3 linked regions of the Alligator mississippiensis genome follow. The protein of the gene in region 2 interacts with the protein of the main gene of each other region in a pairwise test. Links are inferred from orthologs where the notes say so. Each region holds a gene or a part of one and is shown on either strand. Other genes may lie near its edges. The genes, in order: ABHD16A, RNF5 and SLC38A7.

Region 1 (10,344 bases), about 4.8 Mb from region 2:
TTTGTTTTTTTCTTTCTTTCTTTTGATCACTTTATAATTCTAGTTTTTCTTCATTCCTTCTTTTCTCCTTTTTTTCTTTTGTTTTATTCATTCACTTATTCCTTTGTTCTTTTTTATCCTGTCCTCTATGGGTTTGTACATTCATTTGTTCCTTCCTTCCTTCATTCTTTCCTCACTTTCTTTCTGTCATTCACTCGCTCTGGTTTTTTGTTCACTCATTTGTTCAGTCATTCATTTGTTCCTTCCTTTGTTCTTTTTTCCTCCATTCATACACTCAATCACTCTGACTTTTTTCATTTGTTCATTCCTGTGTGTTCATTTGTTCATCCATTCATTCTCACCTTCGTTCCTTTTCTTCTGTGGCTTTGCTCATTCACTTGGTCCTTCCTTCCTTTAGCCATTCGCTCTGCTTTTTTCTTTCCTTTTCTTCCTCCATGCATTTATGCACTCATTTATTCCTTCACCCATTCTCTGCTTCATTCTCATGTTTGTTCTGGGTTTTGTTCATTCATTCTTTCTTCTGTGGCTTTGTTCGTTCATGTATTCCTTCTTTCAGGCTTTCTTCCCGTCATTGTTCACTCTGGTTTCTTTCCCTTCCTCCACAGCTGTTTTCATCCATTTGTTCTTTCATCCATTCAGCCTTCTTCATTACTTCTTTCCTCTGTGAGTTTATTCATTGACTTGTCCCTTCATCCATTGTCTCCCCCCACTCATTCATTCCTTCACTCATTCATTCTCCCCTTCATTCAGTCATCTGCTCTGCTGCTTCTTTGTTCCTCTTTTCTTTTGTGGCTTTGTCTGTTAGTTTTGTCCTTTGTTCTTTCTTCCCTTCATCTGAGTTCTCTGGTTTTCGCCATTCCTGCTTTCCTCCATGGCTTTATTCACCCATTCCTTCCTTCATCCATCCCATCGTTCTCTCTTTCCTCTGTAGCTTTATTCATTCTCCTCTCCCCAGACTGCAGCATCTGGACAGAGTTGCTTGGCTTCCTGCCCCACCCAGGCAGCCCCTGCTCCCCCAGCCCTGCCGGTGCCCCTCACTCCAGACCTGCAGCCCCTGCTCCCCCCAGCCCTGCCAGTGTCCCTCATTCCCAACCCACAGCACCATGCGCCCCCCCCCCCCCCCAGTGCCCCTCACTCCAGACCCGCAGCCCCTGCCCCCGCCCTGCCGGTGCACCCCACTCTCGACCCTCAGCCCCCTACGCCTTGGTGTCCCTCATTCCCAACCCGCAGCCCTGGGGTGATGCAGCAGGCCTGTGCTGTGTTCATGGGCGACTGGTGCTGCCTTAGTCAGCTTCTGGGAATGGCTAAGGCTGCTTCTGGGAGCGAAACGGCACTCCACTCCCCAGCCGGCGCTCGTGGGGAGGCACATCACCACTGGCTGTGTTGATTATACTGTGGTTTGAGGCCTGGATATGAGGGGAGGGGCAAGGGGGAGCTGTCCCAGATGCCTGGGTTCCCTGCTCATGTGTGTCCCAGATGCCTGGGTTGCGCGCCTGTTGGCCTGACACAAAGCTGCAGCCACCAGTTCCCAGTTGCTGCTTTTATTCGCAGCGCCTGCCCCAGACCCTGCCCAGGGCGCACCCAGACACCAGGGTCCCTTGCCCCAGCCCTTCCCAGTGGGACTGTGCCTGGTTGGATGGGTCCTCTAGGGGGCAGCTGAGAGGGACTGGGGTGGAGGGGCTGAGGATGAGGAGTGGGGGGGCGGGGGGCTTCAGGAAGGGGTGGGGCTTAGTAGGGGAGGGTTCTGGGGTGGGATTTCTGAGGGGTAGGGCTTGGGGTGGGGCAGGCCTTCAAATGAAGGAAAAGTCTGAGCAAGGGGCAGAGATGGGAGGGGCTGCAACTGGGGGTGGGGCTTAGGCAGGGGCAGGGCTGGGAAGGGATGGAGCTAAGGGTAGGGCCTTCACAGGGGTGAGCTTAGGGGATGGAGCTGGGCATGGGGGTGTGGCTTCTGATGGGGCAGGGCTAGTGCTGGGGGTGTGGCCAGGTGGGTGGAACCCCGCCCCCGGGAGGGGCCATCAGGCCCCCATGTTCTCGTAGAGGCTGGCTTCACCCTTAGATTCCAGGGGGCCTGCAAGACAGTGGGGGGGCTTGTTAGCTCAATGTGGTGGATGGAGGGCCCCCAGTTCACCCACTAAGGGAGGGGAACTGGGACCAGAGCAGCACTCACCTGGCGGGGCCTGAAACAAGAGGGCTGGAGGTGCCGCCCTGCAGGGGAAGAGGCAATGAGCAGGGGTGCAGAACCCAGGCATCCGGGCTGCCAGCCCCCCTGCTCCAACCACAGGCCCCACCAGCCTCCCGCAGAACCCAGGAGTCCAGACACCCGCTCCCCTCCCAGGCATCGGGGCTCCAAGGCCCCTGTTCTCACCGAGGGAACCCAGGCTGCCAGCCCCTCACCTGCGGCCCTGGTGTCTCTGCCTCCACAGTGCTGCCCCCATGGCGAGGAGGAGGAGGGTTTCCACAGCAACACAGGCAGCCAGTGGAGCCCACAGGGTGTCACAGACCCCAGGATCCCGGCTCTGGGGTTCGGGGCACTGGGAAGACCCCGGTACTGGAGAAGACGGGAGAGCAGGATAGAGGAACCCAGGTGTCCAGACTCCCGGGCCCACTGCCCTCCTGGAGGACCTGGGCATCCGGGCTCCCACCTTCCACTTCTCTCACCCCCAAGGGAACCAGGCTCTCAGCACCCACCCACCCCCTGCCTCCCCTCCCCTCCCGGGGAACCCAGGCACCCTGCCCCACCTGGGGCTGCAACGCTCACCCACCTGCCACCACGCGCAGCTCGTAGCCGGTTACTGTCGTTCCCCCCAGCGTGCACCAGTACGTTCCAGCATCCCCAACCTGGACCTCTCGCAGCAGCAGAGACTGGCTGGGGAGCAGGGAGAGCCGGTCCTGGTCCCCTCCAAGCCCCGGAGCTGGGAGTCGCTGAGCCACGGTTAGGTCTAGGCTATTGTTGCGATACAGCCACAACAGCTGTTCCCCGGCCCCCAGGTGGCGCTGCACAGGGCAGGGCAGCTCCACCGAAGCCCCCACAGCCACGGAGACCTCTGGTGGGAGCAAAGGGAGAGACACAGCTGATTCGGGGGTGGAATGTGGTTATGCACTGGGAATGCGCCTGGTTCTGGGGTGGAACATCTGAGTATATACAGAGATGCAGCTGATTCTGGGGTGAAGCAGTTATATACAGGCATGTGGCTGGTTTTGGGGTGAAAGGGGATAAACGTGGCTGATTCTGGGGTGAAACAGCTGAGTGTACACAGAGATGTGGCTGATTCTGGGGGCAACTTTGGTTATACACAGCAAAATTGACTGATTCTGGGGTAGAACGTGGTCATACACAGAGACACATCTGACTCGGGTGGAACATGGTTGCAAACAGACATGCAGCTGATTCTGAGGTGGAACATAGATCATGTGAGTGATTCTAGGGTGAGATGCAGCTGATTCTGGGGTACAATGGGGGAGAAACACAGACACAGCTGATTCTGGGGTGGAACGTGGTTATACAGGGAGGTGCAGCTGATTCTGGGGTGGAACAGACAGAAGGGTTTTACCTCCCTCCATGGTGGGTCTCAGCAGCAGGAGAAGGAGGCAGAAGGGCTCTACGGCTGCCCCCATTGCCGGCATCTCCTCGGGGATGCAGGGTGTGACCCAGGGGAGGGCGCCAGGAGCTGGTCAGGCTGGAGCCATGTCTGGAGTGACGCAGCAGAAGGATGAGGGACCTTATCAGGATCCCACAGGGATGGATGTGTGGAGGAAGTGACACAAAGCAGCTGTTCCCCCAGAGCCAGCCACAGCTCTTGTCCTCGTTACACCCATTCCTGCTCCACCCCAGAGCCAGCTGCACCTCTTGTCCTTGTTATACCCAGCCCTGCTCCACCCCAGAGCCAGCCACAGCCTTTACCCCCATTACATCCACCCCTACTCCCCCTCAGAGCCAGTTGCAGCTCCTCGCCCGTTATACCCAGCCCAAGCCACCCCACACTCCCCCAAGCCAGCCGCAACTCAGGCAGGGAGGAGCTCTTTTCACATAGAGGCATCCCAGCAGACGCTCCCCTATGAGTTCCCCTTCACTTAGCATTGCCCAAACAATTGGCATGCTGCCTCTCCACCCCAGGGGCGGCTGAGTAACAGCCGCCCCAGGCTTGAGGCACCTAGCTGATGCCGTTCCAAAATGGCGACACCAATATGACTGCCATGTCCCACACATGCCATTTTGGCCTAACTCCAACATAGTGGCACCAACATGGCTGCCACGCCCCACAGACGCCATCTTGACCTACCTCCAGCATGGCGGCTCGGAAATGGTGCCCATTCATGACCTAACGCCAGCATGGCCACTGTATCGCCAACCCCAAGTGGCCCAGTTGGTGTGCACCCCTAGTGCCAGGCCAGCATGGCTGCCCTGTGCCCACTAGTGTCTCCCAGTTGCCTCCCACTGGTGTCCCAGGTGGCCTGACCTTTGTACAGTGACCCCTCAGATCCCCCCTTGATGTGACTCCAAGATGCCCGGTGTGTCACCAACACTGAGTGGCCCAGTTGGTGTGAGTCCCCTAGGGCTGACATGGCCGCCCTGTGCCCACCAGTGTCTCCCAGTTGCCCTCCAGTGGTATCCCAGTTGGCCTGACCACCCCACCCTTGTTCAGCGACCCCACAGATCCCACCCCACCTTGGCGTGACTCTCCAGATGGCTGCTGTATTGCCAACCCTGAGCAGCTTAGAACCAGGCCAACATGGCTGTCCTGTGCACACCAGTTTCTCCCAGTTGCCTCTAATTGGTGTCCCATGTGGTGTAACCACCCCCCAGTTGGCCAAGATGGCGACTCTTTCACTCCAATGGAAGAAGGGCAGAAATGGGTGCCTGGCTCTTTAACAAGGGAGGTGGGAGGGGGAGAGAGAAGCCCGCAGCCAGGACGCCGGGAAAACGCGTTTTCATAACCCCTGAGGGAAGTTTGGCTACCTCCGGTACCCCGTAGAGAACCCGGAAGTGGCGCTTTTGCTCGGTCTCCGACCCGGCTTGGTCCGGCCCAAGATGGCGAAGCTGCTGAGCTGCGTGCTGGGGCCGCGGCTCTACCGGGTCTACAGGGAACGGGGGCCCGCACGGCTCCCCCAGGATGGGGACGAGGCTGCCGAGGGGTCCCCAGCCTCCCGTGAGTCTTCCTGGGTGAGTGCCGTTTTTAACCCTCCCCCCCGCGGGGGAGAAGTGGTATCTCCCGACTGCCTCTCTCTACGGGAGTTCGGACGAGACCATTGCCTGGAGAGGGGTGCCGTTCAGGGGCACGCCCCCTTTTTCCTTAGTGGAACCTTCCCAGTCGCTGGGTCTGGATGTCCGTTAGGCCGGTACCATGATGGGGGGGAGGGGCGGAATGTGTCTTTGCGTGGCCGTGATGGGACCTTCCCAGTCGTCGCGTCTAGATGCCCGTTAAGGCGATACCATGTTGGACAAGAAAGGGAGACTCTGTTACCCCTTACTTCCTTCTTCTATGAGCCCCCCAAGTGACCCCTCCCCTCTTGAAAGAGACCATTTTAGAAAGTGGGGTTATGGAGTTGAGGGGACAATTATGCCCCTCTTCCTCTCCACTTCTCCTTATCCAGGTCCCCTAGGATAGTGCTATCTGGGGACAAACCCTTGTGAGGAAAGAGGGGGCAGGAACTTGAGGGGCAGAGAGCATGATTGCTCTTCTGGATGGTATTTCCCCCTCCCCCAGTGGATCAGGCTATGGGGGTGGGGGAGGGGATATATTTCCCCCTAACAGTATCTCCCCACCCTGTTCTGTGCAGCCCTGCAGTCCTTGTATCAAGTTGCTGCTACTACCCTGAGACGAACCATTGTAGAAAAGAGGGGTGCTCCCACTCCTGTTTCCTGCATGGTACGCCTCACCCTCAGGAAGCTGTTGATACTCCTCTGGGTGAGACCATTGTAGAAGCAGTGGGTAGAGGGGGACACGTTTCCCTTCCAGGACCTCATATGGTATCTCCCGTCCTCCCCTCTGGCCTGTATTACTTCCCTAGTGCTATGACGCCAGCCTGGCAAGGCCGGGTTGGCGTAACCCCCAAGATGGCGGCCGGGGCCCCTCTATTAGTGGGGACGTCATGTTGGCACGACTTCCTAGATGGCAGTCAGGGCCTCGACCCAGGGGGAGGTGCCGTGGTGGTGTGATTCTCAAGTTTGCTACCAGTCTGCCACAGTAGGGGGTGGGTTAGCATGACTGGTGTTGCCAAGATGGCAGACATTGCCTCCCCCCGCCCCCACCCTCCCCAATGGGGCTCAGCTGGCATGACCAGAACAGCCAAGCCAAGGTGGGCGTCCTGGCCAAGATGGCGGTGGTGGCGTTTCCTAGTTTGCCCACATTGCCCTGGCCACCGTGGTGCCCGCCTGGTTGGGCTGGATTGGCCTGGCTTCCGCTGTAACCTGTCGTGATCCTGCCTTGGCAGGGGGCAATACAGGTGCTGTGCACGCGAGACCATGGCCAATGCGCCCCATGTGACATCACCGCAATGGCCACCATGACCCTGATGGTGAGGTGACCTTTGATGTGACCCCATGGCATCGCCACAATGGCCACCATGTCCCTGACCATGAGGTGACCATTAGCGTGACTCCATTTTGGCCACCCCAGAACGGCTGCTGCATCCCATAATGCCCTGCACTGCCCCCTCGCTGTTAGCCAAGGGCTTTACTGTGCCCCTCTGGCTGATTTCCCAGCATGCCCCACTCCCCACCTGTGGCACTGACCCCCTCCCAAGTCTTGGGGTGATGGAGACTTTCTCCGTGCAGGATTCGTACTACCAGCCGCGGAGCCTGGAGAAGCACTCGGACAGCATCCTGGCCCTGGTGAGCTCCTCTGCTTCTGGGGGAGGCTGGGAACCCAGGCATGTGGGCTCCCCATCCCCCCCCTCCCCAGCCTTCCAGGGAACCCAGGTGTCCAGGCTCCTCCCCTTCTTGGGCCCTGCCCAGGGGAGCAGTCCTGGCAGCACAAACATGTTTATCTCTGCTCCAGTCCCTGAGGCCCCCGGTTCTGTCCCCTAGAGCGGAAAGACACCCCTGGCGTCCGTGCTCCCAGCATGCTCCCCTGTCCTGCCTGAATCCACCACGCCTTTTTTCCTTCCCAGAGAACCCAGGCATCCGGGCTCCCCGCCCTGCCCCTCTCCTGTTCCAGATGACCAAGGCGTCCAGGCTTCCAGCCTCGATTGCTCTGGCTCACCAGACCCAATCCTGTTCAGAGCGTGGAGGGAACCCAGACATCCGGGCTCTCAGCTCCTCCTGCCCTCACCCCCCAGGAGAGGATCCCAGGTGTCTGGGCTCCCAGCGCCCACTGCTGTAACCCAGCAGACTCTGTTTCCTTCCTCGAACTGGGCAGAGAACTCGGGTGTCCTGGCCGTGCACTGAGCTAGCTTGGCTTCACTCCCTTCCCTGCAGAGGGACCCCAGGTGTCCAGGCTCTCAGCCCCTGGCCCCCATTCCACTCCCAGAAAAGCCAGGTGTCTGGGCCCTTGCCCCAACCCCCTGCCTCCTTCCTTGAGAACCCAGGCATCCGGGCCGCTGCCCCCCCCCCACCCGTGCTGGCCCCCCAGCCCCTCTTCACCTCCTAGAAAACCCAAGCTTCCATCCCCCCCCTGCTTTCACCCCCCAGCTCCCACTCGCCTCCCAGAGCACCCAGGTGTCCGGACTCCCAGCCCTCACCCCTTCCCTGGATTGCAGAGAACCCAGGTGTCCGGCACTGACTCTGATGTCTGGTCCCATTGCAGGCCTCGGTGCTCTGGTCTATCTCCTACTACACCTCCCCGCTGGCCTTCTTCTACCTGTACCGGAAAGGTAGGAGGCACTGCGGGGGCAGGTAGGGGGCTTGTGGAGGGCAGGGGGCATATATGGGGTATGGGGAGGGGCTGGTGGGGGTGTACTAGGGGAGCAGGTAGGGGCTATTGTGGGGGCAGGTGGGGGGGGAAGATACAGCTTGAGGGGGCATTTAGGGGACACAGGAGGGATCTAGGGGAGGCAAGGTCCATGTAGAGGGCATCAGTTGGGGGTAGGAGGCTTGGGGGGCAAGTGGGGAGGTCAGGAAGAGCAGGCTCCTGGGACCTGGGGACAGGTAGAGGGGTGGGGAGCAGATAAATGAGGGGGTGGGGTGACTAAGGGGCACCAACATGTTGGGGGGTAGGTTGAAGGGGCAGGTAGGGGGAGCCAGGGGGGTTGGTTGGGGTTGTTTAAGGGGCCAGGGCATATCAGGGAAGTTGTTTCATCCCAGAGCTGGGCACGTCGGGGGCCTGGCCATGACGCCCTCTCCTCTGCCCCTTCCCCCCGCCCCCACCCTCCCCCCCAGGCTACCTGACCATGTCCAAAGTGGTGCCCTTCTCCCACTACGCTGCCACCATGCTCTTCCTCCTGGCCGGTGTCGCCTGCCTCAGAGGTGAGTGGGGGCTTGTGGGTAAGAAAGGGCTACACCCCCGCCCCCTGGACACCTGGGTTCTCTCCCAGCTCCGGAGGCAAGGGAGGCAGGCTGGGAGACAGGGGTCCCTTCTACCCAGCTCAGGGAGAAGAGTGGGGCTTGGAGCCCGGACACCCAGGTTCTTTGGGAAGATGTTGGGGGGTGAGGGGTTAGGACTGGGAGCCCGGATCCCTGGGTTCTCTAGGAGGGGGTGGGGATTGCGGGGTGGAAGCAGGGAGAGCTAGGGACGCGGATGCTTGGGTTTTCCGAGAGGGGGATGAATGCCGGTGGGCTAGGGCTGGAAGCCCGGATGCCTGGATTCTCTAGGAGTGGGCTGGGGTGTGGGGGTGGCAGCCCAGACTCCTGGGTTCTTCGGGAGGGGGATGTATGCTAGGGGCTAGGGCTGCAAGCCCAGACGCTGGAGTTCTCTAGGAGCGGGGTAGGGTCTGTGGGGTGGAAGCCCAGACTTTGGGGTTCTCCCACAACCCTTCAGCCTATCTAACTGCACCCCCTCCCCGCCCAGGGATTGGGCGCTGGACGAACCCCCAGTACATCCAGTTTATCACCATCCTGGAGGACAGCCACCGCATCGGCACCCCTGAGATCAAGGTGAGGCTCTGTGACCGGGCTTCTGGCTCCACCTCTAGGCTGCATGCCATCCACCCTGCTGCTTCCCACAGTGCCTTGCATGCCCCGCCCTCTCCTGCCAAGCCATTCACAGCTTGCACCACCCCCTCCTGGTCTTGCATGACCTTCTGCTGTTTCCCGTTATGCCTTTCAGCTTCCCCTTCCCCACCATCCCTGGCAGCCAGGCCTTGCCGCAAGGCATGATGGGAGCTGCCGCTTCTCCCCTCATGCCTTGCACCCTAACCTCCTCACCGTACCACAACAGCCAAGCCTGCCTCAGTTTCCCATCATGCCTTGCAGCTGCCCACCACTCCCCCCCCCCCCCTTGTTTCCCAGGATGGTTTGCAGCCCAACCATTTTTGTGCTTTGGACTCTTTCCCAGCATGCCTTGCAGCTACCAGCTTTCCCTGCTTTTAAAGGGGCAGAAACCAGACCCAGGTCTGGGGGGGTTGGGGGTTGGCTAGGGGAGTGGAGCCAAAGCAGGGATCCCCACCCACTCCCAAGGAGGGGCTGGTGGGGGGGTAGTTTTGGGGGGGGCATGAGGTCTCAGCCCCTCATGCCCAACCCCAACCATTCTCCTTCCTGTGTGCACAGAAGAAACTCGCCAGCTACAACTTTGACTTCCGGAGCTGGCCCGTGGACTTCCGCTGGGATGAGGTCTCCAGCCGGTGGGTGAGCGGGGAGGGAACCCAGGCGTCCGGGCTCCCAGCCCTCCTGCTTTTACCCACCAATGCCCTCCCCTTCCAGGGAACCCAGGCATCTGGGCTCCCAGCATCCCCTGCTTTCACCTCCCTCCCTCCCTCCCTCCCAGAGAACCCATGTGTCCAGGCACTCCCTTCCCAGAGCAAGGGGAGAACCCAGGAGTCCTGGCTTGATGCTCGGACCCACCAGCCCTGACTTTGTTCCCAGAAGTGAGAGAGAACCCAGGTGTCCAGGCTCCCAGCCCTGCCTGCTCTTGCCCCCCAGCCCCCACTTCCCTCGTAAAGAACCCAAGCGTCCAGTCCCTCAGCCCCCGTCTTCTTCCTGAGCTGAGAACACAGGCATCTGGCTCTCCCCAGGTCAGACTCGCGGGGGATCTCCTTGCTGCAGCCGCCCCCCAAGCACCGCAGCACGGCCAACGGATTCCTCAATGCTGTAAAGAAGCTGCCCTGCCAGATTGCCAGGTATAACCCTCCCCCCAGGGGAGGGGTTTGAGCTCCCTGCCTCCCTATTGGCTGCAACAGGCCAAGGGGTGGGGTCTGCAGGCTTCCCTTTGGAGGGGTGAGGGGTGGGAAAGCATCCTGGGAGGCTGCAGG
Region 2 (10,344 bases):
AGGGGCAGTGGGGGGCAGGGATGTGGGCTGGGCTGGGTGGATGGGGTGGGGCTAGAAGGGAGGGGGCGGGTGTGGCAGAAGGGGTTTGGGTTGGCTGGAAGGGGTAGAGCTACAGGGCTTGGGGGTGGGGATATGGGTTGGGGGGCAGGTCTGGCAGGAGGGGGCAGGGCCAAGAGCATGGCATGGGGCTGAAGGCCAGGGTGGGGTTGGATGCCCTGTGCTATATCTGTGTAACCCCCCCTAGTCTGTCTTCACCTTGACCTCCAACCCTTGACCTCACTCTGGACCCCCAGCCCAAAGCACCTGTGAGGCTGTTGGGATCCTCTGCTTCTGCTTCCTTGACTCCAGGCCTTACTTGACCTTGGACCCCACCCTGTCCCTAATTCCTGTCCCCTGTGTGGGGACATCACCATGCTTCCTTGGTGACGGGTATGACCCTCTGACTCCTCAGTCTGACCTTCTATCTCTGGACCCCCTTCCCTGACTTTTGACTCCTCCCCAAAGCACCGGTGAAGCCGTAATCAGCCTTTGCTCCTGCTTCCTTCACACCAGTGACTGCCCTTGACCTCTGACCCCCACCCCAAAGCACATAAGGCTATTGGGGTCCTTGACCTCTGCGATCTCCCTTGACCCCCATACTCTAACCCCACTCCTGTTTCCTTGATGCTTGGTGCCATAACCCCAAACCTTTGACCCCTGACCCTGTGTGTCCTGGCAGCCAGATGCAGCACAGCTTCACCCAGCAGGTCACAGCCCCGCCCCAGTGCAGGGCCAAGGACCAGCTGCCTGCCCACTGTGGCATCATGTTTCGCAGGTGTGGGTGAGACCTACAGCCAGGGAACAAGGCCTGGGTAGAGAGGTGGAGCCTATAGGAGAGGGGCTGGGGTCTGGGTAGAGTGACTGGGCCCTGGTGAAGGGAGTACAGGAGCTTTGGGACATGGCCTAGGCAGGTGGGTGGGGCCACAAGGCTTGGGGGTGTGGCCCAAAGTGAAGGGCAGGGCCAGGGACCTTGGGGTGTAGCGGAGGTTGAGAGGCATGGCCTGGATCGAGGGGGCAGGGCCATGGGGCTTGGGTGTCTAGCCCTGGCTGAGGGGTGGGGCCAGAGGGCATGAAGTCATGGGGCTGGGGCCTGATTGGAAAGGTATGGCCACAGGATGTGGGGGCAGGCCCATGGTGGCTGATTGAGGGGTAGGGGTGGGGCCTGAGCTCAGGCTCTGCCCCCAGTGCCTGCCCTCTGTCTGGTTCAGGCCTCCCTGTAGGATGGGGGGAGGAACTCACTCTAAGGTGGGGCACCCTCAAATCTCAGCCTTTTTTCCCCCATAGATGGAGTTTGTCTGTGCCATCCCCTCGGCCTGATGAGGGTGAGTTGGGCTTAACCCCTCCCCTCCCCCTCCATCTGGGGTAGGGAGGGGGCAGAGGGGGAAGGGCTGCCTGGTTGGGATGGCAGCGCCAACATCTTGGCCATCGGGAACCAAGATGGTGTCTTCATGGGGGTTCAATCCAACAGGGAGGCCACTGAGAGCAAAGGTGGCATCTCTTTGCAGGGTCCATCCAAGACGGCAGCCACCAGGTGCCAAGACAGCCAGCAAAGATGCTAGACTCCGGCACCCGGAGCCTTCAGTCTTCTGCCTCTGCCCGAGTGCCCCCCTGCCCCCAACACCGCCTCCTAGAGTCCCACCCTAGGGTGCCCACTTCCTGTTGGGGTGAGGGGTCAGGGGTCCTGGAACTGGAGGTGGGGGTGGTGTGGGGCAGGCTTTTGTTTCTTTATTATTCATGTTTTCTTAATTAGGAAAATCCAATTAAGTGTGGGGGGGCAGGTCTGGGAACTGCCCCTAGCACCCCCAGCCCATAGGGGGCAGAAGGGTGGGGCTTAGCCCCTGCCCCCCAAACTGGGCTGGGCACAGTGGCTCTAGCGCCCCTGCCATGTGCTCCACCACCTTTGTGCGCTGGCCCAGAATGCCCCTGCGGGAGGGAGAGACGGGTGCACTCTGCACTGCCCCCCCCACTATATTTCTTATTGATACTTAAAAACAAAACACCCCCACTCCCTTTCAAGACTGGCTCAGGAGGCTTCTATGAGGGTGGCCATTTTGGAGCTCATCGTTGGGTGGCTCGTGGATGGGTTTTGGGGGGTGGGGGGAGAGGAAACATGAGCTGTTGCGTGGGGGGTTCCTCAAGCATGACACCAAAGGGTCCTTAGCCCCCCCCCCAGCCTGCACACCCATGCCCAGAGTGCCTCACTCCACAGCAGGCTTCAGTGGAGGGTGTAGGCCTCGCTGGCTGTGCTGAGGTCTTGTGGGTTCCGCAGCCAATAGCACCTAGTTTTTGGGGGCACAGACCCTCTAAGTTGTTTGCGGGGGGTCACGGGAGGCTCCCTACCCCCCATTGGTTGTATTTTCTTGGCTTATGTAATAAAATATATTTCTTCCAGGTGCGGGAGGCTGTTCCATGGCTTTGGATTGGCTCCCTGGGGTGGGGGGACCCCACAACCAGCCACCTCATCTCCCCAAAACAAGGGAACCCCTCACCATCTCAGTGACTCCCCCCAGGGGGGCACAGGTAGTGGGGTCCAGAGTAAACTCCCAGACCTAGGGGAACAACTTATGGTAGATCCTACCCTTGCCCTTTTCAGTGTCTCTCACTCCTAGCCCGCAGCCCGGGGTCTTATCTGCTCTCGCCTCATTCCCCTAATGAGAGTCCAGATACCCCAGGGTACGAATCACCAGTGCTTTAATGACACCCCTGGTCCCCCTGCCATGGGGGGGTGTGGGGTCACCCTGATTTGCCCTGTCCCATAAACACTCACAGATGCCCCAGAACTGCCCTCTCTCCCCCCACCCCATGTGCAGGGAGCACCAGGGCCTGGCCCGGCCAGCAGGGGATCACTGGGGAGAGCAGAGGCCAACCCTGAACTGGCCCCTCCCCCCTATTAGCCCTTAGGGAACCCCCCAAGTCCTGCCCCTTGGCCACTACATCATGCCCCCACGCATGGGGGAGGGGCAAAGGGGAAACCCTGCTAGAATACTGTAGCCCCACCCTCCAGGGGTTAACCCCTGCCTGTCCATGGCAGGGGTGCGTTGGAGGGGAGGGGGGGGGTCAGACACTGAGAAGCCAGAAGAGGAAGAAGATGGCAATGAAGAGGAAGAGCGAATCCTGCCAGCCAGAGGGCCGGGGGCCAGCAGCTGCATCTGGGGGGGGGAGGAGAGAGATGTTGTAAATCAGGGGTGAGCAAAATGTGGCCTGTGGGCTGGATACAGCCCACCAGGCCATTCTATCCGGCCCATGGTGCCCCTAAAAAATTTAGAAAATTAATATTTATCTGCCCCTAGCTGCCTGTCATGTGGCCCTTGATGGCTTACCAAACTCAGTAAGCAGCCCTCCACCCAAAATAATTGCCCCCACTGCTGTAAACTGAGGAGGGGAAGGCTGGCGGGGGGGGACTAGTGCCAGTGTAGGGTGGGTGGAGGGTGGAGAGGAGCCTGGGGCATGTGGGGGTACTCAGAAGGGGGCCCATGGGCATGTGTGGGATGGGGTAGGGGAGCCCCGGGGGGTCCATGGGAGTCATCCTGATGTGGGGGGAGCTCAGCCTGGGGTGGGGAGGGCGTGGGAGTCTGCCAGCATAAGGGTTGCCCAAAACAGGGTGCAAGGACCCTGGGTTTGGGGTGCCAGGGGGTCTCTTACCAGCTGGTGCGTCAGGGCCCCGCATCACGGTGGTGAAAAAGCCGAAGGGGAAGGCGCCGATGCCGAAGGCCATGTGGAAGCCAGTGTCGGGGAAGACAGGCGGTGGTGGCCCCTGCAGACACAGGGTATTAGCTGGGGGTGAGGGGGCAAAAGAAGGGCAGGTGGCCGTTTTCACTCACCCCACGGCTCTCAGGCTCCGGGCGCTGGCCCCGCGGCCGTGGAGGGGTCTTCAACCTGGGCAGGGGCAGAGATGGGGCATCAGGGCGGCAGAAGCCAGGTGCCTCCTGCCCTGTAAATGCCCTCCAACCCTGCGTACCTGGGGTCCTGCTGCCCGGCGCTACCACGGCCATACAGGGGGATGACCTTGTCACGGCTGATGCCTGCCTTGCACACGGGGCACTCCTGCCGCTCTGGCCGTGTCTCCAGCCACTGCCGGCGTGGGGGGTAGGAGAGGGGGTGAGGGACCCCCCACGACTCCCCCACCTGCTCCACATCATGCCCCGGGGGCGGTGGGGGACGAGGGGGAGGGAGGGACTCACCTGGTGCAGACAGGGCCAGCTGCAAGGTGTGTGGAGGGGGGGGGAGTGTTATGGGGGTGGGCCTTGAGGCCCCCCCCTTTCAACTCACCCATGCTAGCCCCTCCCCCACCCTAAGCCCCTCCCCCACCCACTAGACCACTCCCCAGTCATATCCGATCCCCGCCTCCGTCCTCCCGGCCCCACCCCCAACCATATCCCACCCCTTTCCTCCCCCCATCCCATTCGCGCCAGCCCCACCCCCACTCCAGCCTCCCCCACCCATAGCTACGCCCCGCCCCCTCCCTAGGCCCCTCCCCTCCCCCACAGCTAGGCCCCTCCCCCTGCCCCACCCCATGAGAGCCCCCCACCCAGGCCACGCCCCCACCCGGCCCCGCCCCATACCAGTACAGGTGCCCGCAGAGCCCGATCACGGCGTCCCGGGCGGGCTCCAGGCAGATGTTGCACTCGAACGCACTGCGGTCGCGGTTTGGCACCTCGGGGCCCCCATCGGGGACCCCCGGGCCTGTCCCGGCCGCCATCTTCCGCCCCACCCCCGGAGGGGAAATGCCACCGCCTTCCTTCTCAAGGGTCCCATTGGCCAGCGGGGCCGCCAATCAGCCGCGCCCCCCGCTCAGTGGCCGGTGACGCTGCCTCTCAAGGAAACTGGCGAATATGATTGGCGGGAGGGTAGTTGGCATTACCACCAGATGAGGACACGCCTCTGCCAGTGGCTGACTGGGTAGATTTGCTGTCCATCACACGTTGCCTCACGCTCATTGGTCACTGCGGCTTGGGTCCCAGCTTCTCAGCGTGTAGGATATTCACCCGCTTCCTATGGGTGCCGGCTCCCGTCAATCACGAGTAAACGACGCGTGATTGGTCGCTTCGGGGTAAGGTGCGGGCAGGAGCGGAGAAACTTTGAATGAACAGCTCCATAATCCAATTATTAGTAGCCATAAGTGAGGCGGGACCCCCAGGGACATGTAGGATTCTATTGGCCTGGATTCTTTCTGTCATGCTGACTGATTGGCTGAGGGGGAGTAATTGTAATTAACAAGCGTTTAGGCCAATCCTCGCCCATAACGGTTCCGGACTGCGGAAGGGATTGGAGGAGCGGGCGGCGAGGGAAAGGCCACTGATTGGCTAAGAAGGCCGGTGGGGGCGGGGCACACGTGTCCGCTGTGAAGCCCGAGGTGCGGTCAGCGGCCGGAGAGACCGAGGCAAAATGGCCGCCCTGGAACCATGGCAACTGCCCTGTCACTGGAGCAACCACAGTCTGTCCCTGCCAGCCCCGTCACCACGGCAACCGCCACCCCCCGCCCCTGGCAACCAGTCCTGTCACTCCTGCAACCATCACTTGGCCTTGGTCGGGCCTGCCCCGTCACCATGGCAACTGCACCCCTGCTGTGTCACCATGGCGACTGCCCTTGCTTGCTATTGCCCCCAAACCCTCCATCACCTTGGCAACCCTCCCCCACGGCCTGGCCTCGTCGCCATCGTGACGACGTTGCCATGGCAGCAGTCCCCCTTTGCCCTGGGGCCCGACTGGCCGCCCTGCCACGTTGGTATAGCAACGGTCACTGGGGGGCCACGGTAACCATGGCAACTGCCCCTCTCCTGGGCACCCCCCCACTCCTGGGTGTCCCTCGAGTGCCCCCCCGCCACGTCTCTATGGCAACCGAGGCAGCCCCAGGCCCCGCCCCCGGGGCAACAGGAGGGGGCGGGGCGTGGGGAAGGGGCGGGGCCCATTGGGGTGGGGGTCCGTAGAGGGGCGTGGCAGGGCGGCGGGGCTCGCACGCGGGAGGGAGCTGACGTCACGGGGTCCGGGGGCAGGCGCGCGCGCGGGCCCCATTGGCCGCCTCCCCCCAACCTTCCCCCCCGGCTTCCGGTGTGAGGCCCCGCCCCTTTCCGCCCCCTCCCCCCCTCCCCGAGCATCCTCTGCCGCCATGGCCCGGCCCGGCCCGCCGCCCTGAGCGCCCCCACCCGCACCACCCGGGGCCAGGTGCGGGGGTGGATGGATGGGGGGCTGCGGTTGGGGGGGCCTGAGGGGGGGGACCCTGGGGGATGGGGGCTAAGGGGGGTGTTCGGGGTGGGGGAGGGGCTGCCCCGAGCGGGGGGGGGGCTGGTGGTACCCTGCTTCAGCCTTGGCAGGGGCAGCCCTTTACTCCCCTGCAGCGATGGTTTGGTCCTGCTCCCCCCCTCCCCCCCCAGCTCCAGGGCTCAGGGGTTCGGGTGGACGTGGGGTCCAGTGGGGTCTGGGCGACCTGGACCCCTGTGGTGTGTGCATGTGTGAGCACGTATCCCAGGTGCCTCGGTTCTGTGCGTGTATGAGTGCACACGTGTGCTTTGGACACATGGGTTGTGTGTGTGTGTGTGTGTTCCAGATGCCTGTATGTTGTGTGTGTGTGTGTGCGCGTGCGTGCACCTGTTCTGGAATCTGGGTTCTGTGTGTGTGTGTGTTCAGGGTGCCATGGTTGTGTGTGTACATTTGTGTCCAGGGTGCCTGACAGGTGTATGTCCATGTCCCAGATGCCTGGGTTGTGTGTGTGTGTGTTTGTGTGTGTGCACGCGCGCGCATGCACGGGGGGGTTACAATTGTTCTGTGGTAACCATGAGTGCCTTTGAGGGTCATGGGGTGTTGTGTTCATGTGTGTGTGTGCATCCAGAGGGGTCTGACTTGCACATGTTTGTGATGGCTACTCCTTCATGTGTGTGTCTGTGTGTAATGGGTTGTGAGGGATGTGGGGTTGTGCATGTGTGCAACTGTGATAGTTGCAGGCACTTGTGAGGGGCACTGGGTATGTGTGCCTGGGGGGGCACAACTTCTGTGTGCATGCACGTATGCATGAGATTCAGGTTTGCATGTGTGTGTGATGGTAGGAGGGTGTTGGGAGAAATGTGTGTTACTGTGCTGGGGATACAGTTGGTGCGTGTGTGAAGCCTGCAGGGTGTTATGCAGGTATCATTTTCACCTGTGTGTATGTATCCCCACACCTGGGTTCTGTGTGCGCTGGGGAGAAACAGTTCTTGTGTGTGTGTGGTTGTGAGCAGCTGTGTGGGGCACAGGGCAGTGTGTGTGTGTGTGTGTGTGTGTGATGTAGGGTGTTGTGGAGGGGTACAATTTTCACCTGTGTGTGTGACGGTAGCAGAGTGTTATGGGTAGTGTGGAGTACTGTGCTGGGGAGCAATAATTTGTGTGTGAGAGAGAGAGATGCTTGTGGGGTGTTGCACAGGGTTCACTTCTCACTTTTGTGTGTGATGGTAGGGGTGTGTGGGGTGCAGTGCTGGGGGTACAGTTTGTGTGTGTGTGTGTGTGTGTGTGTGTGTGTGTGTGTTGTTGCGAGCCATTGTGTGCAGTACAGGCCACTGTGTGTGTGTGTGTGTGCACGCGTGCATGTGTGTGCATGTATATGTGAGACAGACAGATACTTGTAAGGTGTTGTGGGGTACAGTTCTCGGGGGGTGTGTGATGGTAGTGGGGAGTTGTGGGGAACTGTGCTTGGTAAAATTTGTGTGCGTGTGAGATAGTTATGTGGGGCCTAGGGTACTCTGTGTGTGATGCTTGGGTGTTGTTGGGGGTACAATGCTCACCTCGTTGTGTGTGTTTGTGTCTGTGTATGTGTGTGATGGTAATGGCATGTGAGGGATGTGGAGCACTGTGCTGGGAAGTACAAGTCTTGTGTGAGTGTGTGTGATGGTTGTGTGGGGCACAGGCCTCTACATGTGTATCCCAGGTGCCTGGGTTCTGTGTGTGTGTGTCTATTCACATGCAGATGTGAATGTGTACTTGTTTGTGTATTTGTGTGTGCATGTGTATATGCTGGCATGTGCATGCATATATGTGTACTCGTGTGTGTCCTGGGTGCCTGGGTTCTGTGTGTGTGTTGGATGCCTGGATTCTGTGCATGTGTCCATCCATTCACACGTGTGTGTGTGTGTGTGTGTATTCACGTGCGTATTTGTGTGTGCACGAGTGTATTCATTTGTGTATGTGGCATGTGCGTGTATTTGTGTTCTTGTGTGTGTTTGTGCATGCATACAGGTTTCCCATGCTCCCTGTGGCTTGCTATTGTGCGTGCCACGGCCCATGCCATAGCTGTGTGTGTAAATCCACACCATGTGCATGTGTTCACCTGCCTACCATGTGTGCTGCCATGGCCCCTATCCCCCTGCAGTTGTCAGGCCCAGGCTGGGGTTGAGTCTGGGACAAGGCCCCCCTCGGGTGCAGGGTGGGGTGGAAGATCAGGCGTGTGCACGCCTACATGTGTGTCGGGAACTTCCAGCCCTGCGGCAGGGAGGTGTGTGTGTGGCACCGGGTCGGAGTGTGGCAGGTGTGTGTCTCTGGGCATGTTGACACATGCACAGGGCTTGGGCAGGGTTCGGTTTGCTGTGCATGTGTGCGTGTGTGAATAACCACGTGTACTGAGAACATTGTTTTGCATGCAGTGAGTGATATGTACTTGCTCTGCCACAGTTGCACTAGCGTACAAAGTTACGTGCACTCACTTGTGCATGTGTACATGCACACATGCAGTGGGTTTGAGCAAATAGTGTAGCTTGGTCCAGTGTGTGTGTGTGTGTGTGTTGTGGACACATGGTCACTGTGTGTGTGTGTGTGTGTGTGTGTGTGTGTGTGTGTGCGTGCAAATGGTAGTGTAACAGTATGCTGCAGGTGTGTGTATACATGAGTGTTTGAGCAAGCACTGATAGCATAGTTCTGCTTATATGCATGCACACACACACTGAGTAAATAGTGTGTGTTGCACACAAACATGCATTTGAGCAAGCAATGAGCATAGAACTGCTTGTTATACGCAAATGCACACGGTGTTTGACAAGTAGCAGAGAAATGCTTGTTTCACACTCACGCAGCATGTTTGAGCAAAGCGTAGCTCTACACTGTGTGGGTATGTTGCACACATGCACAATTTTGACCAAGCATTGATAGCATAGGTCTTCTTATTGAACGTGCGTGCACGCGCGCGCACACACACACACACACACACACACATGGAGCAAGTAGTGTAGCTTAGTATTTATTTTGGACATATGCACACAAGTGTTTGAGCAAGTATTGAGCATAGATCTTGTTACATGCCTGCACACGCAGTTTTTGAGCAGACATTGCTAGTGCAGGTTTGTGTCACACATGCTATGAGCAAACACTGATGGTGTAGTTCTGTTTATCAGACACGTACACACACGCACACAATGCACACAGCATGTTTGAGCAAAGAGCTCGGTACACTGGGTGTGTTGCACACTCACATGCACACAAGGTTTGGGCAGTGCAAACACTAATAGCATTGATCTACCTGTTACACCCGCAGCAAAGAAATATTGCCAAGTTCTGCTTGTTATACTCACACATGCGTGCATGCACACACACACAGTGTGAGCACATGCGGATAGCATAGGTTTGGTTGGCATGTGTGTATGTGACACACACACACATGCAGGGTGTGAGCAGACACCAGCAGTATAGAGGTACTTGTCCAACACATGAAGTGAGTAAACAGTGATAGTGTCGATCTGCTTGTCACACGTATACGCGTGCACGCACACACAAACATACTCGCACACAAAATGTTACAGCAGACACGGATGGCAGTGTTGTAATTGTTACACATGCACAGAGTGCCTGAGTAGGGTTCTCTACTACATAGGTTTGTGCGTGTGTGTGACCTGGACACCTGAGTTGTGTGTGCATATGTGTGATCTGGATGCCTGGGTTTTGTGCCTGTGTCCCCATCCCACAGACAACTGGATTCTGCGTGCATGTGTGTGTTTCAGATCCCCCCTTCCCCCCTGCCATTCTGTGTGTGTGTGTGTGTGTGTGTGCGTGTGTGCGCGCGTATGCGTCCATGTATTCTGGACCACCTGGGTTCTTCTGTATGTTTTGGATGCCTGGGATCCGTGTGTGTGTTCCCAACACCTGGGTTGTGTGTGTGTTGGGTGCCTGGATTCTGTGTATGTGCGCGCGTGTGTGCACGTGCACCCCCATGTGTCCTGAACACCTGGGTTCTGTGTGTCTGTCCGTGTGTCCCGAAAACTTGGGTTTGGTGTGTGTGTGCACACATCATGGACGCCTGGGTTCTGTGCATGTGTGTCCCAGATACCTGGGATCTGTGCCTATGTGGTGGTG
Region 3 (10,344 bases), on a different chromosome or scaffold from region 2:
CTGGTCATAGGCTCCAAGTCAAGTACACCTGGTTCCTGTTCCCTTTGTGTCCTCTCATACATCAATCCTAGTCCAGCTCTCCCCACCCACCTGGCATATTTTTGGAAGCCAATCTCCTTTGGGATGGAGAGGGGCAGAATCAGCAGGAAGGCAGTGATGCTGATGGTGAACTTGCGATCTGTGTACCAGTGGCTACTGTCTGCCCCCTCTGGATCCGTCATCAACGCAGCAACGACTAGGTGAGGAGACAAGGACAGAATCAAGCAGTCAGGGAACAGCTAAGCACAATGCCAAGTTGCATGGACCATCTTCTTTGTGGCTAGAGGGCAGGGAAAGGAGATTTCAGTCCAGGCTGGGCTTGCTGGAAGAAAGGCAGCTTGGACAGGAAATGTAAGCTCCTGGGGCCCAGCAGAGATACATCTACTGTGAGCTTTCATGACAGTTGAGATGGGCCACAGAAATCAGTTCTGTGCAGCACTATCCTATCCTCAGGCAAGTGGAGACACAGACCAATGCTGAGACATCTCAGCCCAGCTCTCAGGGACAGCAGGGCCCAGCTACTACCAGGGGACACAAGCCCTCTCATTCTCACTCACAAGGACCCCATTCCCAGAGACAGGCACAGCAGGCCCCAGGTACTTACTCTTATCCTGCTGATCCCCGATGATGATGAGAAAGGCAATGCAGGTGCCAAAGGTATAGACAGCAATGGCAACCTCACAGAGCACGCCAGTGACCTTGCCACACACGGCCCACACCACCTCCTGGTACGTCCTCTCATTGCTGGCCTGTGAGCAGTAGGCCAGGATGACCAGGCCTCCAATGATGAAAACCAGCATGCACTGGGAGAAGATGGGAACAGTCAGAGTGCTGGATACCAGAGCCCCTGTCACCCATCCCTCCCAGGCTGAGGCACCATGACAGGGCCCAGGGCTGGCAAGAAAGACCACATTCTAACATGTCTCCCACATGATCCAGTCTCATCTATTGTAGAGGTGCCCATATCCCCCCATGCAGCTCCTCTCACCATCTGCAGCGTGATCCCCGCTGCCACTCCACCTGCTGTGCTGAAGGCTGCAGGAAAGTTGAGTAACCCGGCACCCAGGGCAGCATTCACCACAATGAAGATGGCTCCCAGGGTGGAGGTGGCCCCTGTGCCATGTTCCTGCCCCTCACTGCTTTTGGGCACAGTCTCCACACTGGGGCTCTGCAGCAGCCTTGCCCGCTCCCCGGCATCCGCACTCCACTCCCAGTCTCTGAACTCACTGTTGATCCCCACATTGTACTGAGCCATTTCCCTTGCTGTGCAGTGGCCAACCAGCACAACACTAACACCCCTCTGTGTCTCTTCAGCACTTCAGCACTGTGCCAAGTCTGCAGTCAGAACAAGCACCACTCTATAATGCTGACTCCCATTAGGGTCCAGCATCCCAGGAGTTACAAGGCAGTCAGATTCATTCTCCTGTTATGGGCACCATCTTGGGGGGCACCAGGCACAGACCACTTCACTGCACCTAGAAGAGGACAAAGGGAAGAGCATCACTACCTAGTGCATGTGGAAGTCATGCCAGTCAGAGCTGGCCCCAAAATCCAGACTGCCCATGTACTCCATCAGCCTCTACACAACTACACCCTTCACTAAAATGGAACACTACACCAGTGATTCCCAACCTTTTTTATACCGTGGACCAGCAGTAGTGAGGGGCCACAGGGCTGGGCCAGGCAGGGGAATGCAGCTGGGGGCAGAATGCACCTGGGGAGCTGAGCCGATGGCAGAGCTGCCGCCGCCTAAAGCTCATGCCATGACCCAGCAGCCAACCCTTCACAGCCAGGTGGTTGGGAACCTCTACACTACACCCATGGGTGGGCAGCCAGCAGCAGGGAACGAACCTGGGATCACTGGATCTTAAAGCAGGAGCCTCTGTTGCCCGAGCCAAGAAACCCAGCACTGCTATAACTGGCTTATGTGAGACAAGTCTAGTAGGTCTCAGCTCAGGTCCTAGAAGTCCGTATTGTGCAAGCCACAAGAGTTGTCCTAGTAGATTGAACTGACAGAGGAAGAAGACTGACTGTCAGTCAGCACTGAGGCACCATGGACACAAGAGACAGCTTGCACTGCAATTATTCTGTGGATTAACATATTTTCAGTCTCCAAGGCTGTGCAGTTAGTGCCTTATCACAGACCTGATGCTGACACAAACAACAGCTGCATTTCGAAATCAACTTCCTTATTTCCAGCCCAAATTTCTGCAAGTGCTGCAAGAGTTTGCCTGCTCCTGTGGGGCGAAGTTCAGGGAAAGACTTGAAGTTGGAATGACCAGTCAGACAGAGGGGACATTTTTTTATCTGGCGAAACAAACAACAGATTTCCATACCTATCTCAGCAAACCTGACCAAAACACCTCTGAGATAAGAACAAGCATAAAAGATCATAATTTAAAGAACTGCTATAAAAATAGCACATAGGCCTCTTCAAATAGTTCGAGCTTATAACAAGTGACTCCCTTCTCCAACCCTAAAAATCACAGCCAGGTTTTGTAAAAAGTCCTGACCTCTGTGGCTCAGATAGACATCTAATAAAATCATCCAACAAACCAGGTGTTTTCAGCCTTTCTAGAGTCAGGGCACCCTACACGAATTCTTTGAGTCTGGTTGCACCCTGGTTGAGAACCACTGTTGTCCTGCCTCTGCTCATCTTCATGCTTCTCAATCAGTGCTGCAGCATGCTCCTGCCAGTATTAGGATATTCTGATAAACCTAAAGCAGGCAGGTGCAGGGTTACTAAAGAGTTCTGTGCTCTGGGAAAAACTCCTCTGACCCCTGTGGTAAGGAGGGTTTTTTTTGGTGGGGGGAGGATGGTCTTGCCTGCCCCAGGTGTCACCACACCCAGCTTCTCCAGCTGGGCAGTGCAAATGGCAGCTCCACAGCCCATGCTGCTCCTTCCAGCCAGGCAGTGCAAAGGGCTGTGGCTGGAGTTCACACTTACCACAGCTCTTCCTGGTCCAATCCCACAGCTCCTCAGTCACAGCTGTTTCCTGATCTTGCTCCATAGGAGACATTCAAAGCCACACCCCTGTTGAGAACCACTGCCAGAGGCTACTATGAACTACAATCAACGCTTAAAGGGGACACCCAAAATAGAAAGGGAAAACAGAGGAGGAGAGACAATTTCCTCGGTCCTCTACCCTTAGAAGACAGGCCTTCTCTTCCCTGTTTTTCACAGACACTCTTCCACTGAAAGCATTGTGAAAGCAAAACTTGATTTAAAAAAAATGAGAAGTAGTGGTGTGGGAGCTGTATGAGTCTTTATGGATTTTGTTAATATCTTTAAATCAAATTCTTGACAAGCAGCCGAAAGGAAAGATATCTCTGTGAGAAAATTAACTTCTCAACCCGACTCTCAGACTAGCACAAGTATCCATTCCAGTGCTGTGGGTCTTCCCAAGTGATTTCCAAAAAAAATGTGGAAGAAGGGAATTCCCTAAAGTTAAAAAGCAGGAAAAATAATTGCTAAGCAAAAAGGCATAAATCCAAACTCTCACACAATTTTTAATCCTAAGGGTGAATGTTCAGATATTTACAGACAGCTATTCAGAAACAGCTCATACACTCACAGTGTGGACAGGTTCCCCAAATTATGAAGCTAGACTGTGTTTCCTCATTACAGGAAGAGGTAGAGCTTCACAGGGGACTTCAGGTTGTCATCATCATCTGTCTTGCTATGCACAACTCCTAGGTTAACTCTAAGGCAGTGGTTTTCAAGCTCTGGTCCGCAGACCCCTGGGAGTCATAGATTGTATCGTTGGAAGGGACCACAAAGGATCATTGTGTCTGACACCCTGCCCCTGGCAGAAAAAGAGGACCAGTCCACAGATTACATCCAAGAGATCTGCAAAAGATTATCATGATCAATAGAAAGTACATGAATACCCACACTTACAGTTCACTAGGGTCCACACCTCCATTTAAAATTTCCAAAGGGGTCTGCACCTCCACGGAAAAATTTTTAGGGGTCCACACATGAAAAAAAGGTTGAAAACCACTGTTCTAAGGTGAGGTATCATTGATACTCTACTCCTTCCACCTCAGGGCAGTAATGACACCAAGTGGTGCCAGAGACAGCTCTATGGTGCACACATTTAATTAAGCTTGTTTTAATTCTGATCTGGAAAAGGGAAAACAAAGAAATGAGGGTGTAGACTGAGGTCTACTCTATTGTGCATCAATTCAAACCAAAGCATTAACAGGCCTAGATCCAGGGCCCAACTGCAAGTGCAACCCAGTAAGAGAACTTAACGGTACAACATCAGCATTACAACACAGGATTAAAGAAAACAGAGCACAGTCATCAAATAAACAGGTGTGTCTCTACCCACCCTGCTAATGGCTCCCGATTCTTCAGAGGAGACATCCTGTTCTGAGCCAGGTGACTGGTTACAGACAGGAATGCTCAGGTAAGCTGAACTGTATAGAAGCCCTGGGTGGACACCTGAACTCTGATTTCAGCCGACTGATGCACTGTAGAGGCCACACTAACAGACGGGCAGATCATGGAGGTAAGGGAACGTGTTCTCCATCTCAACCAAACTAGTTTTGCTTGATATAAACCCTCAAAATACAACTTCTAGTACAATCTAAACTCACAGAATCCTATAGAAGCTGGGCTGGAAGGGACCTACAGAGGTCATCTAGTCCAGCCCCCTGCCTAAAATAGTATCATCCCTATCCAAACCATCCCATACAAACCATAATCTAAACTTTACATCAGACAACCATCAACCCTGATATGACATAGACCTAACACCCTAACCTGCCACAAGTAAAGCAGAACTGTGGCAGCCAACATCCTACTTCTGTGAAATGTCATCAATAAATGCTCAAGAGACGCTGAGTAGAGGGCCATGACCCTCATGAGAGGAAGGCAAAAGCCCCCATGGTCTGTACCAATCTGAGCATAGGGTAGAATTCCTTCTGAGCTCCAAATCTGGCAATTGGTCAGACCCCGAGCAGAAGGACAAGCCCCTCTAGCCAGGAACCTCCAGCTTTGGTCCCCACAGGAGCACTGGCACAAGTCCCCAGGCTTGGCTGCCACCAACATCCAATGCCTCTGAGGAAAGCTTAAAATCACCCTGACACATGTAGCAGAAAGAGGGCACAGGAGCCCCAAAGCCTGGGAAATCCTTAAGCAGAACATGGTTTAGCCTGCCTGGTGCACTAAATGGGCTCAGCCCTCCCTCTGAAGCACGTTGCATTGGTCCCTTAGAGCAGCATTTCTCAACCCATGGGTTGTGACCCAAAGGTGGGTCGCAAGAATATAGGAAAGGGCTGGGAACAAATGTCAGAAATGGATTCTCCTTTAAACGAGTGAGGGCCACTGGGTCAGGACTGGCCATTGATGTTCACAAATGGGTCCTAGTCCAAAGAAGGGCAGAACCACTGCTTAGGCTGGGAGCCAGGCCAGAGGCACTGTGGGCCTCGTCTCAGCGGAGGATCCCGGAGAGCAGCCGCTGTCACAGGCCTGCCCCTAGCCCAGGACTCCGCCTCGGGTGGTCTCGCTGGGCTGGGCGACAGGACACAGCCCGGCCGGAGGGCACCGCAGGGCCCTTCACCCACGCCCAGGCAGGCCTGCTGCTGCCCGGGACACCCCCTGCCAGCGGCCCTGCCCCTTCGCCAGCCGCGCGCGTCCTTCCCGGCGCCCCGCGGAGCTGGGAAGCTGCGGCCCGGGGAGAGCCCCTGATGCGCGGAAAGCTCCGCCAACGGTCAGAGCAGGCCCCCACAACCGCCTCTTACCTCCCACACCGGCGCCGGCTCCGGCTCTTTTGAGAGCAGCTGGAGCCTCACGTGGTCCCGGCGGCTCGGCCCCGCGCGCTGCAGGCTGGGGAGCGTAGTCCCGCCCCGCCCCGCCCCGCCCCGCCCCCGCTGGGGGAAGCCGTGGGCTCCAGAGCTCTGCCTGCGCCTGCGCCGCGTCCCACAGCCCCGTCCTGGGGCACGCTCGAGAGCAGGCTGGGCAGGCCGGTTGGTTTAGTCAGGGATGCACCTGCTGTGAGCGGGGCCTGGGCTAGGTACCTTCCAGCCCTGCTTTCCTGTGATGTGTGATCCTGCGGATGGGAGACACGAGAGACCAGGAGCGGATCCAGCCAAAGCTTAAATTGCCCTGGAGTGGCAGCAGCATAGCTAGTCCGTTGACTTCGGGGCTCAATAGACTTGGCCTGATCCCTTCCAAACTTCATTCCTCAGCACCCTTCTCCTTTTTACTGGTCTTGATGCTCCACCAATCAAGGCACTCTTTGTCCTACAGACAGCTGTGCTCTGTTAGCTGCTCGTGGTCAGGAAGCTCTTGTTTCCCAGCCCTGGAGATTGTTTTGAGCTGATTCAAGCTTCTTTGTGTTTTGGCTTCCATGTTAAACTGGATAATCCATCCCGAGGCCCCCAGCATGTCAGTAAAGCCCCTCATTCATGGTACCTGGAAAGAACCTATGCATTGTGGTATATGTGGCGATGCCCCTCCCCACTTGCGTCCCCCTTTTCAGAATTCTGCTGGTATTTGGAGCCAAGCAACTCAGTGCAAACATCACATGTTCGGATCAGGTCATGAACAAAGGTTGGCGGAGAAGGTGAGGAGTAGGTAGGGAACCTGGCTTGAGCCCAAAGGCAGGATAATGGAGGGGAAATATTTTTCTAAACCAAATGCTGGGTTCTGCAAATGTACCAATTTTAATTGTGCATCCCTTGGCTTCCATACAGTGACTCTTGGGGTTTGGCAAATAGAGCCCTGAGCGTCTGTATTTCTCATTCATTTCAATACCAGATTCAAGTGTTCAGCAGCTCTCATGCCTTGGTGCTACTCCTTGGTGCTCTGTCATCCCTGGGCCAGATTCCTTCTAATACTAGCACAAATTGTGACTGTAAAATTACACTGCACCCAGCTGATGCTGTTCTACGCTTGTATAATACTGATCTGAACAACACAAGCAGAATCCTAGAAAACCAGGCCCTGGGCTGTTCAGTTTCAGCGGCCTTGAGAAACAGCTTTGTCATCTTATTCTCCAGGCATCCTGTTGGTTTTTATCAATCTCTGAGCCTGTTTTACTAGAGTCCTGACCCTGCAAGTTCATTCAGCCATGGCTACAAACCCTCTGTATAGTTTTGCCTGTGTTCCAGGAGTGGCCGTGATATTTTCTCTGCATGTATCTCGAACAGCCCATCCCTGAAAAGTGCCCTTGTGAATAGCAGGAACTGGATTTCACCAACATTGCAATGGTGGCTTGCCCTGAAGTTCCTAGCAGAGGTGCACCAATACATTGGTCCCATATTGGATCAGCACCGCTATAGGGAAAATTGAAAGTATTGGAAATGTTTGGGTTTTTTTTTTGCCTGATGTGGCCACTAATGTAGCAGATAAATGCCCCATGAACGTGCACAGCTGCACCATGCACCGGCCCAGGAGCACATCCTGGCCAGTTGGAGACCAGCATCTGGTTGGTAAGTCTGGTGTGGGGGAAGAGGCATGAGGGGACACAGATCGAGGCCTCCAGGGTGAGGAAGGGAGTGTGGCTGGGGCAGATGCTGCTCAGCTGCAGCAGTGTGGGGTCTGGGACGGAGCTGCGAGTGGCTCGTCTATGGGGCGGGAGTCAGATCCCTCCTTGCACACATCCCCAGACATAGTAGGGCTCACAGAAACCTGGTGGGATTCATCCCACGACTGGGCGGTCAACATTAAGGGCTATAGACTATACAGGCAGGATAGAACAGGGAGGAAAAGGCGGGGGTGTGGTGCTCTATGTCAAAGAGCAATACACATCCTCAACCAGCAGGATGGGGTCATAGGAGGGGCAGGCTGAAGTGCTCTGATAGTCACATACAGGGGTGTCATGGGGAAAGGGACTTAACAGTGGGGGTCTACTACAGACCTCCCAAGCAAAGTGAAGAGCTGGACCATGAATTCTTGGCTCAGCTTGTGGAGGCACTTAAGACAAGGGATGTAATTGTCATGGGTAATCAAATTACCCAGACATCTGCTGGGAGGAGCAGTCAGCCAGGTCTGACCACTCACGGAGGTTCCTGGCTGAGATAGAGGACCTCCAGTTAACCCAAGAGGTTCACAGTCCTACCAGGGGGAATGCCCTGCTGGACCTGGTCCTGGCCACAAGCAATGATTTGGTAAGCGGGCTCCAGGTCCTCAACCACCTGGGCGATAGCAATCATTGCTTGCTGGAATTCACCATCCAGCGCGGGGTGCCAAGGGCCTGCAGCAAGGCAGTAGCCTTTGAAGTTGGCCCTCCTAAAGTCTATGAGCTGAGGTGATTAGTGGGGGAGGCACTAGGATCCTGGAGAGTAGAGGAACTGGGTGCCCAAGATGAGTGGTCGTTCCTTAAGGAGACGATACTCAGAGCCCAAGGGGTGACAATCCCAACAAGAAGCAAGGGGGGCAAGAGTGCCCAAAAGCCCCCCTGGCTTACCAAGGGCATTTGTAGATGCCCGATTGCCAAAAGCGTACACCAGGTGGAAGGGAGGGGCTATTACCAAAGAGGAGTATACCTCCACCGCTCGGGTCTGTAAGGGGGCTATTAGGAAAACTAAGGCAGATATGGAACTAGGGCTAGCATCAAGGATAAGAAAAAGTCCTTTTTTAAATACATAGGGAGCATGAAAAAGGCCCCAGGTAACGTGGGGCCCCTGCAGGATATGCTTGGCAATCTGGTGGTCACACCAGAGGAGAAAGCAGACCTCTTTAACAATTTCTTTGCTTCTATTTTCTTGTGCAGGGACCGGGACTCCCCTACCGATATTCAGGATGTACTCGAGAGAAACTCCGCCAAACCTAGGGTCAGGGAGGACTGAGTTAGAGAGCTTCTGGAGGGGCTGGACACGTTCAAGTCAGCAGGTCCAGATGCTCTCCACCCCAGGGTGGAGAGGGAATTGGCAGGGGTTATTGTGGGGCCCCTGGCACGGCTTTATGAGCACTTGTGGTGTTCTGGCCAGGTGCCAGATGATTGGAAGAGGGCCAATGTGGTCCCCATCTTCAAAAAATGGGGAAAAAAAGGGAGGACCCGGGCAACTATAGGCCCGTTAGTCTTGCTTCAGTCCTGGGGAAGCTGTTTGAGAAGATTATCAAGCAGCACATCTGTGATGGGCCAGCAGCGGGGATGATGCTCAAGCGCAACCAGCACAGTTTCATTAGGGGCAGGTCCTGTCATACCAACCCAATTGCCTTCTACGATCAGGTCACCCAAAAAAAAAAAAGTCACTGGCTGTAGGTGTCGCGGTGGATGTAGTCTTTCTGAATTTCAGGAAGGTCTTTGACACTCCCACCTCATTCTCATTAAAAAAAAACAGGTGACTGTGGCATTGATGCCTACACAGTCAGATGGATTGCAAATTGGCTGAGGGGTCGTACTCAGAGAGTGGTGGTGGACGGGTCATTTTCAACCTGGAGGGAAATGGGCAGTGGGGTCCCATAGGGCTCAGTCCTTGGGCCCACACTGTTCAGTTTCTTCATTAGCGACTTGGACGACAGGGTAAGAAGGAGCCTGTTTAAATTTGCAGACAACACCAAGATTTGGGGTGAAGTGGGCACACTAGAGGGGAAGGACAGATTACAGCAGGACCTGGACAGGTTACAGGGGTGGGCAAATGAAAATAGAATGGAATTCAATACTGAGAAGTGCAGGGTGCTGCACTTGGGGAGTAGGAACCAGCAGCATACCTATAGGTTGGGGAACTCCCTTTTCAAAAGCAGAAAGAGATCTTGGAGTCATTATTGACTCCAAGATGAACATGGGCCGACTGCGAGAACACGGTCAGTAGGGCTAACTGTACCTTGTCCTGCATCCACAGATGCATCACAAGCAGGGCCAAGGAGGTGATCCTCATCCTGTATGTGACACTGGTCAGGCTGCAGCTGGAGTACTGTGTCCAGTTCTGGGTGCCGCACTTCAGGAGGGATGTGGCCAGCATTGAGAGGGTCCAAAGGAGGGCCACTTGCATGATTTGGGGACAGCAGGGCAGACCCTATGAGGAGAGGCTATGGTACCTTAACCTGTTCAGCCTTTGCAAGAGAAGGCTGAGGGGGAACCTGGTGGCCGTCTATTAAAACTTGCTGGGGGGGGGGACTAGTGGGGTTTGGGAGACCTTGTCCCCCCCCCCCCCCCCCCCCGAGTGCCTCCTGGAGTAACAAGGAATAATGGCCACAAGTTGTTAGAGAGTAGGTTTAGACTAGACATCTGAAGGCACTACTTCACAGTCAGGGCCGCTAGAATCTGGAACCAACTTCCAAGGGAAGTGATGATGGCTTCTACCCTGGGGGTCTTTAAGAGGAGGCTCGATCTTTACCTGGCTGGGGTC

What was found.
Region 1: the proteins of RNF5 (region 2) and ABHD16A interact in binary tests that used the Homo sapiens proteins (3 or more experiments, as listed by UniProt). The link is inferred for Alligator mississippiensis from reciprocal best matches to the Homo sapiens genes RNF5 and ABHD16A.
Region 3: the proteins of RNF5 (region 2) and SLC38A7 interact in binary tests that used the Homo sapiens proteins (3 or more experiments, as listed by UniProt). The two-hybrid records come from large-scale screens. The link is inferred for Alligator mississippiensis from reciprocal best matches to the Homo sapiens genes RNF5 and SLC38A7.

The regions. Positions count from the first base shown.
Region 1 is NC_081834.1:57,909,873-57,920,216, reverse strand, and holds the start of ABHD16A (phosphatidylserine lipase ABHD16A), read left to right. Parts: upstream 1-4,981; 5' UTR 4,982-5,029; coding exon 5,030-5,161; intron 5,162-5,849; exon of another isoform or gene 5,850-5,864; coding exon of another isoform or gene 5,865-5,906; intron 5,907-6,775; coding exon 6,776-6,832; intron 6,833-7,745; coding exon 7,746-7,812; coding exon of another isoform or gene 7,813-7,834; intron 7,835-8,317; coding exon 8,318-8,404; intron 8,405-8,945; coding exon 8,946-9,031; intron 9,032-9,643; coding exon 9,644-9,717; intron 9,718-10,107; coding exon 10,108-10,212; intron 10,213-10,344. Other genes in the region: uncharacterized protein LOC109284092, read right to left, coding at 2,016-2,068, 2,168-2,205, 2,395-2,548, 2,763-3,044, 4,667-4,784. UniProt on the Homo sapiens protein: Phosphatidylserine (PS) lipase that mediates the hydrolysis of phosphatidylserine to generate lysophosphatidylserine (LPS). LPS constitutes a class of signaling lipids that regulates immunological and neurological processes.
Region 2 is NC_081834.1:62,660,077-62,670,420, forward strand, and holds RNF5 (E3 ubiquitin-protein ligase RNF5), read right to left. Parts: upstream 5,289-10,344; 5' UTR 4,739-5,288; coding exon 4,602-4,738; intron 4,240-4,601; coding exon 4,221-4,239; intron 4,111-4,220; coding exon 3,998-4,110; intron 3,916-3,997; coding exon 3,861-3,915; intron 3,794-3,860; coding exon 3,682-3,793; intron 3,189-3,681; coding exon 3,097-3,188; 3' UTR 2,714-3,096; downstream 1-2,713. UniProt on the Homo sapiens protein: Membrane-bound E3 ubiquitin-protein ligase that mediates ubiquitination of target proteins. May function together with E2 ubiquitin-conjugating enzymes UBE2D1/UBCH5A and UBE2D2/UBC4.
Region 3 is NC_081833.1:39,215,001-39,225,344, forward strand, and holds the start of SLC38A7 (sodium-coupled neutral amino acid transporter 7), read right to left. Parts: upstream 5,880-10,344; 5' UTR 5,791-5,879; intron 3,904-5,790; exon of another isoform or gene 2,987-3,903; intron 1,515-2,986; 5' UTR 1,295-1,514; coding exon 1,028-1,294; intron 843-1,027; coding exon 644-842; intron 236-643; coding exon 91-235; intron 1-90. UniProt on the Homo sapiens protein: Symporter that selectively cotransports sodium ions and amino acids, such as L-glutamine and L-asparagine from the lysosome into the cytoplasm and may participates in mTORC1 activation. The transport activity requires an acidic lysosomal lumen.